2 linked regions of the Caenorhabditis elegans genome follow. The protein of the gene in region 2 purifies or fractionates together with the protein of the main gene of each other region. This does not show direct contact. Each region holds a gene or a part of one and is shown on either strand. Other genes may lie near its edges.

Region 1 (4,628 bases), on a different chromosome or scaffold from region 2:
TTTTGTCTTCACAAGGTGTAACGACCCACAAAATCATCCGAGCTTAATCTTCTATTAAAATTCTTGAAAGTCAGATCAAAACGTTCCCCGAAAAATACTAAAATGAGTTTTCCTGCATACTGCTGCCGCCGCTCACATCTATCTTTCTGGCGACTGTGTCATTCAAGGCTTCTATGTCATTCAAACTACTGCCACAGTCATACCATGACAGAACTTTTTTGGATTTTTGTTTTCAAAGAATCTCTAGACCAAGAGCATTCTTTGAACTATAAAAACTTGTAAGATACTTGATGGGTTCCTCGAAAAAAAAAAAGTAAAAATCCCGCAGAATGCCGACTTGCGTGCCATCAAGAACGTGATCTCAAAAGTTCGGAAAGCCTGCAGCGATGCGGTTAGGGAAATTTTAAAAATTTTAAACGTTAATCTGGTCAGTATTTCATGGAGATCAAAATTTATACAAATTGATGTAATAACTCTCGCCACACGTGAAGTTACAGAGCTGCAAACGTGTTACCATACTTATGGCGCAGAAGAAAAATCAATCAACAATAACTTTATTTAGGATACACCTGCAAATATCCAAAACGATTTACGATCATAGTTTTTTCCCAAAAAAGTCTTTTCGAAAAATCCCTCAATCAAGGCGCCGGGTCTTTTTGAATACTCATTTAAGTACCAGTTCACCGGTCCGAAAAAGATAGTAGTGTTGCGCCGAATGATCAACACAAGTCCACATTCATCGCCGAACCGTTTGCAAAGCTTTTCCGCATAATCAATCAATTTGAATCTGTAGCTGAAAAAATGTTTGGATCAAATGTTATGCCATTAAGCCGCAAAATACAAACTCGTATTCCATTGGAAGGGCAGCTTGCAGCTTTCTTTGAAGGTTCTCCTCGTGCCTTTTGCAATCTTGGGTTCTGAGGCTTCGTAAAACAAAAGCATTGCACCCGTTTCGATTGAAAGAAGATTTAAAATTGCGTTTGAAATAGCTGTATGAAGTGAATTGGTACTCCTCAGATGAACCGTCACAGAAATCGTAGACGATCACGTAAAATTTGTGGCTGAAATATTTTGGAAAATCAATTTGAAATCTGACTGTTTGCGATATGGTGTGCAAAAAATGGTTACATTTGTAAGTGGATGTGAGAAAAATTACTGACGTTCACAGCAGGGCTGTCTTTTTTTGAATAAATTTTCGGAAAACGCAGATTTTTTGGCTTTTTTGGTCTTTCGGGACCAAAATCTTTTATATTTTTTCACAAATTAAAAAAATTCCAGAAAAAAATTGGTTGGCCCTCAAAAGCCTAGAAATCATCAGAAATCTGCAAAAATCAACATTTGGAGGAATTTTACGGGCTGCGAAAATCGTGAAAAATGCATTGAAAATTTTTCAGAGCGACTTCTTTCCAGTTCAAAGTGCCTAAATTGACCGGGGTTAAATTGGAATACTTCCTTTGTAAGCCTAATAATGGAAATACTATTCACGTTTTAAATAACTTAACAGATAAAATAATTGCTACCCCGGTCATAATTTAATTTGAAAAAAGTAAAGTTATAATACACAATTACCCTTTTATGTCCCTTGTCAATTTACAAAAATACTCACTTTGTCATGATCTTGCCCAATTCTTTAGTCAAAATATTTCGTATATTTTCACTTCCCTCATTATTGTCTTGCACATTATGGATTAAACTTAAGACTCCATCGTCCCAGTACGAGTGATCTTGACGGTATTCTTCAGCCCATCTATTCATTTTCAGTTGTAATTCTTCGGTTTGCTTCTTTAAACGACTCGGTCCAATCATGTTCTTATCGCAAAACATTCCATTCTGGTACGTCTCCAAAATCAGCTGAATATGATACACTTTATTTAGTGAGGGATGTAGTGAGTACCTACACATTGGGCAAGCACTCCGTCGATTATTTTTCTCCATTTTTCAAAAGTTTCCGTTGGTCGAAGAGGATCACAGTTCATTGCCATTTTGAGAGGATTCGTTTCCTCCTGGTCGAGTTTTATAATCATTTGCTGGAAATTTGAAGCTGTCTAACATTGAAATCTTGTGATTCCTTAATAAGTCCTACCTCTGCAATCCACAAAGGTTTATTATCCGTCACAGCGCCACGAAATAGCTCTTTTGTGTATTTACAAGGATTGTTCATCGTATCCTGCATGTATTTCATCAACGTTTTGATTGTAGCGACCTCATTCTGCAAAATTTTGAGTAAGGGTAAAGGGTGAAGGTTAAAAAGGGTCGTGATTAACTTTTTTCCTGCGCAGAAGGCTTCGTAACCACACTTTGAACCAATATCTATTCCGAACATACCATGTAAAAGTGAGACGTTGTTATAAATGACTTAAGATCACCGAACAACGCGTCCATCTTATGTGACAGTTCCCCAATCTTCTTGTCGAGCGTTTTGAGCTCGCTGAGTATCAGCTCCGTTGATTTGTCATCTTTGTATGCAGCCATCGTAACATATGCACTAACTATAGCACCGCATGCACAAATCGCAGTTAAATGCGGAACCACTGCGGCGGACGCATAAGCCCCATGTACTCCTAGGCAGCCAGTGACCACCGAAATAAATCCCGTCGTGTAGTTTACAGCTGGAAAATTGAGAATTCGATTCAATTTCATATTATTTTAAAAATAGAATCTTACCAGCCATCTTGAAATATATAACTGTCTCCAAATAGAAAAGCAATGATGTCTTATCTTTCTTTTCTCTGTTCTTGTTTTATACTCTAGTGCTACACATTACACGCATGCCATTTTTCTTGTGGAACTAAGTATGAGGAATACTGACATTTTCTTTATCAGGAATGCTAGCGTCTTCCTCATAAAAATTCGGAAAGGGCAAAAATGTCAAAGAAAATTATGTGTTGAAAATACTCAAATATGTCAATAGTACCAAGTGACTCATTTAGGGAACACGATTTTTGGCATAGTAAGTGAGTTCCGAACTAAAGAACTAAACTATAAATTCTGATTTTTTTAAAAGATTTTAAAAGAAAGAAAAGATTTATTCACAAAAAACATGTAAAAGATACATTAGTTTTCCTTGAAGGTATTAGATAAAATATTTATTTAAAAAAAAAGAAATCGCAAAAAGATAAAATGTCGTAGTTTTTATTACAATGGAACGGTTTTGAATAAAAACTACAAATATTCATCGAACACCAGCAATTATCTCAAACTTTTGACCGTACCAGTACTGAAAAAAGTCGCCACTACCAAAAAAAAAGTCAGAACCATTGCCCTTGAAACATCTCTCAATACAGTCACCGGGTCCTCTGGGATAATCGTCTGGGTCACAGTTTACCCAACGTTTGCGAATGTTTCTATGTTTTCGAATAATCCCCACAAAGCCACATTCGGCGCCGAACGTTTCGCGAAGACCACGCACGTACTCACGAAGGTCATGAATGCTGAATATTGATTTAAATTAATTAATGGTGTTTTCTTTAAATAAATACCGTATTTTCCGTATTAGTTCATATTGCATTAACATTAACATTAATTGTCTTCAGTTAAACACATTATAAAAGTATGGTAGTGGCGACTAATATAGAAAATGCGGTACACTGTACTTACTACGACTGTGGAGGTGTTGCATCGAGCATCCTTCGAAGAATCTCCAGGAGATTATGCGGAAAAGCTTTGCGAACGGTTCGGCGATGAATGTGGACTTGTGTTGATCATTCGGCGCAACACTACTATCTTTTTCGGACCGGTGAACTGGTACTTAAATGAGTATTCAAAAAGACCCGGCGCCTTGATTGAGGGATTTTTCGAAAAGACTTTTTTGGGAAAAAACTATGATCGTAAATCGTTTTGGATATTTGCAGGTGTATCCTAAATAAAGTTATTGTTGATTGATTTTTCTTCTGCGCCATAAGTATGGTAACACGTTTGCAGCTCTGTAACTTCACGTGTGGCGAGAGTTATTACATCAATTTGTATAAATTTTGATCTCCATGAAATACTGACCAGATTAACGTTTAAAATTTTTAAAATTTCCCTAACCGCATCGCTGCAGGCTTTCCGAACTTTTGAGATCACGTTCTTGATGGCACGCAAGTCGGCATTCTGCGGGATTTTTACTTTTTTTTTTTCGAGGAACCCATCAAGTATCTTACAAGTTTTTATAGTTCAAAGAATGCTCTTGGTCTAGAGATTCTTTGAAAACAAAAATCCAAAAAAGTTCTGTCATGGTATGACTGTGGCAGTAGTTTGAATGACATAGAAGCCTTGAATGACACAGTCGCCAGAAAGATAGATGTGAGCGGCGGCAGCAGTATGCAGGAAAACTCATTTTAGTATTTTTCGGGGAACGTTTTGATCTGACTTTCAAGAATTTTAATAGAAGATTAAGCTCGGATGATTTTGTGGGTCGTTACACCTTGTGAAGACAAAAAAAACTGAGTAATTTTCGCAAAGTTGAATTCATGAAATATTCAAAGGTTTTTTCTAGGCGCCAGTGTCGATACAGAAAATTTTCAAATACTACAAAAACAATTAAAAACGCTTCTTCACTTCTTTAACTTTGAATTTAACATAAAAATCATAGATCTGAAAATTATTGGCGTGCGTGGGATGTGCGTTTGTGTGGGAAGTGCCGCGTG
Region 2 (4,214 bases):
CATTTTCACTAGTTTCTTTGCAATATTTTCTCATTTTTAAGCTTCTCTATCGATAAGATAGAACAACCCGTAAATCGACACAGGCGCTACAGTAGTCATTTAAAGAGTTACTGTAGTTTTCGCTACGAGATATTTTGCACGTCAAACATGTTGCGCAGTACGTATTCTTAGAATTTTGTGTTTCCGTAATATATTCGTACCTTCAAATACTGCTAATTTTCTGTGCTGGAGAAGTTATTATAACATTGTGTTATTAACCAGAAGCTAAATTTTGCGCCAAAATACGGTACCAGGTCTCGACGCGACAAATTCTGGTTTGATCGAAAAAGCTGTGCGCCTTTAAATAGTACTGTAGTTTGAAATTTCTCTGAAAATCGATAAAAACTATAGTACTCTTTAAAGGCGCGCCCCTTTTTGCATTTAACAAAAATCTGTCGTGTCGAGACCATGTTTGGCGCTAAAATCGCAATATTTCGCCTCTAGATAATAATGAAATACAAAAATATAATTAATTGTTTATTAATTGCAACAATTTATTCTAAGAACCACAGGTAATAAAAACAATTAAATTTCTTCAGGAATCGGTTTCAGCTTAATCTCCTCCTCAGCCGTCTGCCGATTCGCCACTTTCGGAAGATCTCTACAAATAATCGATATTCTTCGCTCCCTGGGCACTTGTTCTCCGTTCCACACACTTTCCTGCTCGCCGAGCACCTCATGTGTGAAATCGTATCGTCCGGGACCGCTGAAATTTTCGAATTTTTTAGATTTTTTAAAAATGTGGTGAGCAAGTTCGCTCTATGGCTAAACTCACCCTAATCGATATAAACTTCTTCTAGGCATCAGAAGATCCATAATCAGTTCATCCTTCTGATCCTTGTGCCGGAGCCGCATAATAGCGTCGGAGAGCAGGGAGACACCCGTGATGACGTCACCACAATACTGAAAATTTCGGATTTTTTTTGAATATTTTTGAGTTATAAGTTTTAAATGCGCTCTAATGATAATAATTGCCGAACTAGGCCATGTTGGCTCGACCATATCTGGGGTAGATTTACGGCGCGTTGCGTGTCGCGTCGCGGCTCGATTTTAGTTGTAAAACTAAATGTATTTGTCCGTGTGGAGTACACGACTTTCCCACGCGTTGTCCGGCGGGGGATTGTCAATAGAGCGCGAAAAATTCGATGAGGAAGCCCAGAACCCTGGTCAACTTGCACGCACTCGAATCGCGTCAATGTGTGGTTTGATGACACCGTCCTTGTGTAGATCCAAAATATGCACGTAGGTCAAATGTTCGGTGTTGGCGCCGAACGATTCACTCCGGATGCGGGAGATCACTTCGAGATTCTCGTCTCGCCATTTTCGTTGCTCACGTTCTCGGTATAGGTGGATGGCCTAGAAAATATGGGAGACTTTTAGGCCACGGGAAGCTTGCTGGTGGCCTAGAAATTCGAAATAGGTATTTCTAGGCCATGAATTCATCTGAAACCTAGAACACGATTTCTAGGCCACTTATTCTATACTGATGACCTATAAATCCAAAATTTCAATTTCTAGGCCATCGACAATTTACTGATGGCCTAGAATATTATTTCTAGGCCACCAATTCTATATTGATGACCTAGAAATCCAAAATTTTAATTTCTAGGTCATCGACAATATATTGATGGCCTAGAATAATATTTCTAAGCCACCAGTAATGTTTTATTGACTGAGAACTCTAAATTTCAAATTTTATGTCAAATTTTGGATTAAAACATATTTTATCCGAGATTTTCAATAAATTTTTTTTCACAAAACTATCATTTTTTGAATTTTGTAAATTTTAAATCTGTTTTCCTCATAAAAATGATCAAAAACTCCTACATCGTCCCAATGGCTCTTCTCGTACCGAAGACGCTTCATGTGTGGCTCAACGTCGACGAGAAGGCTTTTCTCTTCGGCTTCTGTGATGAAATCTCTGAAAATTTCGAAATTTTTAAGGTTGCAAGCGCGCTCCAATGCTAATAATCTTTTTTTAAACTTGCAAATACGCTCTACGGATAATTCCCCAGAGTTTCGCTGCTTCCAATTTAAATTCAAATTTTTTCAAGTTGCAATCGCGCTCCTTTGACGATTTCTCTGATTTCACCGATTTCACGTAAAATTTGAAAATTGTGGAGTATGCAAATCCGCTCTAATACCAATTTCGCTCAAAATTTCAAATTCTTGCCTACTTTTTAACATAACAGCAGGTTTTCATAGTTTCAGCCAAATCCTTCGGCCACAGTTCCAAATTATGAAATTTTATCAAATGTTGCAGAGTTCTCGGTGTAATTTTCATATTTTCTGTTCCACTGAAACATTTTTGTTGTAAATTTCCAATTTCTGAGAATATTCTAAAGCACGGCTTTCTACGGCTTTTAAACCATTTTCCTGTTGAACTATTTTCTTTAAAAATCACAATGATTTTATAGTCGAAAAGAAATAAAAAAACGCATTATGCTGAGGGCTTCGACATACAAAGTGGAAAGGGTTGGGGGAAATACATGGAAATTTCCTTTTTTTTTTCGGAAAAACAAATTTTTGTTAGTATTTACAATTACATTTTGTTACCAGTCAGACAAGTTTTTTGAGGGAAAAAAATCCAATAAAAATGAGCATTTTTCAGAAGGACGTATAATGTACACGAAGTGTGTGTGTGAAAAGGAGACAACAAAAGGGAAAAATTGCGGGTTAAAAATGGCCGGGAAAACCAAAAAAAAACATTTTTTAAAAAAATAAATTCAGACGGAGCACTTATTGCTTTTTCTTCGGCGCCTCAATCGCCTCGGCGAGCTTCTTCATGTCGTTGAGCGAGCGCTTGAGCTCTTCACGGAATTCACGGGAGCTCTGGAAGAAAATTGGATGAAATAGATAAATTTTGTGGTTTTTCGGCAAAAATTGCTCAAATTTTTTCGAATTTTGAAGATAAGTTTAAAAAAAAATTTTTTTCCACAATATGAATATTGTTTACAATAAGAAATCTGGTTTTTTCAAACGAAAAATCTTTTGTTCGTTCCAGAAAATTTGGGTTTTTTTCAAAAAATCTGGTTTTTTTTAATCTGGGGATTTTTTCCAGAAAATCTGAGTCTTTCCCAAAAATTGGTTTTTTTCCAACAAATCTGGGTTTTTTCAACAAAAAATCTCGGGTTTTTCCAAAAAATCTGCTTTTTTTAAACAAAAAATTCGGTTTTTTTCCAAAAAATCTGGGTTTTTTTCTGAAAAAAATCTGGCTTTTCCAAAAAAATCGGGTTTTTTTTAAACAAAAAATTGGTATTTTTTTCCAAAAAATCTGCTTTTTTTAAACAAAAAATTCGGTTTTTTTCCAAAAAATCTGGGTTTTTTTCTGAAAAAATTCTGGCTTTTCCAAAAAAATCGGGTTTTTTTTAAACAAAAAATTGGTATTTTTTTCCAAAAAATCTGGGTTTTTTTAGACAAAAAATAGATTTTTTTTTCCAGAAAATCTGGGTTTTTTTCCAAAAAATCGGGGGTTTTTCAGAGAAAAATACTGTAACTGTAAAACAAAAATTACCGTATTATCGGCAGATCTCTTGCTAGAGATATGGAAAGACAGAGTATCTTCCCCTGCAACAATATAAGAGACACCGTAACCCCGATCAGCCACCGGACCGAATCCACCTCCGGCAGTGATCAATCTCAAGCGAACTTCGTTGGAAAGTCCCTTGGCATCAGCTTCGCACTGATTCATCGGAGTCTGGGAAGTTGAGAGCAAGTATGTCGGTGGGAAGATATTATCGAAAAACGGGGATTCCTCTTCCAAATATCTCTTGATAACGTAGAGAGCGAAGAGATGACGATCGACTCCTTGTCCACACATCGCGTCTCGGTACAGCTCCTGATGCTTGTCGCATGCTTTACGGAGGAGTTGGAGGCGATCTTGAGGCGTCTTCGAGGCGTCGAGCATTGAACGAACGAAATCCGAGGATTGGACAGTGCAGGAACGGACAGTTTCGGTACGTCCTTCACGGAAGAGACGGGTCATTGAGGCTTCGTAGGTCAGCGAGAATTTATTTTGATTCTGCAAAAAAATTGAGTTATTTTACGGTGTTTTTTAAAGGTGGAGTAGCGTTAATGGGGATTTTGCTTCTAAAAATTCAAAAAAAAAATTTTTTTTGCTCTAAATGACCGAATATAACTGAAAAAAATTCAAAAAAAATTTCTGAATTTTTAAT

Evidence for each region. The genes of interacting proteins can lie anywhere in the genome.
Region 1: the proteins of alkb-7 (region 2) and Y94H6A.2 fractionate together in Caenorhabditis elegans (co-fractionation; one large-scale study listed by BioGRID). This does not show direct contact.

Annotation. Positions count from the first base shown.
Region 1 is NC_003282.8:2,728,335-2,732,962, reverse strand, and holds Y94H6A.2 (DUF4781 domain-containing protein), read right to left. Parts: upstream 2,672-4,628; coding exon 2,665-2,671; intron 2,610-2,664; coding exon 2,326-2,609; intron 2,210-2,325; coding exon 2,084-2,209; intron 2,028-2,083; coding exon 1,899-2,027; intron 1,852-1,898; coding exon 1,607-1,851; intron 1,062-1,606; coding exon 846-1,061; intron 794-845; coding exon 559-793; 3' UTR 541-558; downstream 1-540.
Region 2 is NC_003280.10:12,785,818-12,790,031, forward strand, and holds alkb-7 (Alpha-ketoglutarate-dependent dioxygenase AlkB-like domain-containing protein), read right to left. Parts: upstream 2,337-4,214; 5' UTR 2,324-2,336; coding exon 2,217-2,323; intron 1,961-2,216; coding exon 1,867-1,960; intron 1,396-1,866; coding exon 1,222-1,395; intron 943-1,221; coding exon 815-942; intron 746-814; coding exon 565-745; 3' UTR 505-564; downstream 1-504. Other genes in the region: cpt-1 (carnitine O-palmitoyltransferase), read right to left, coding at 2,779-2,871, 3,554-4,060.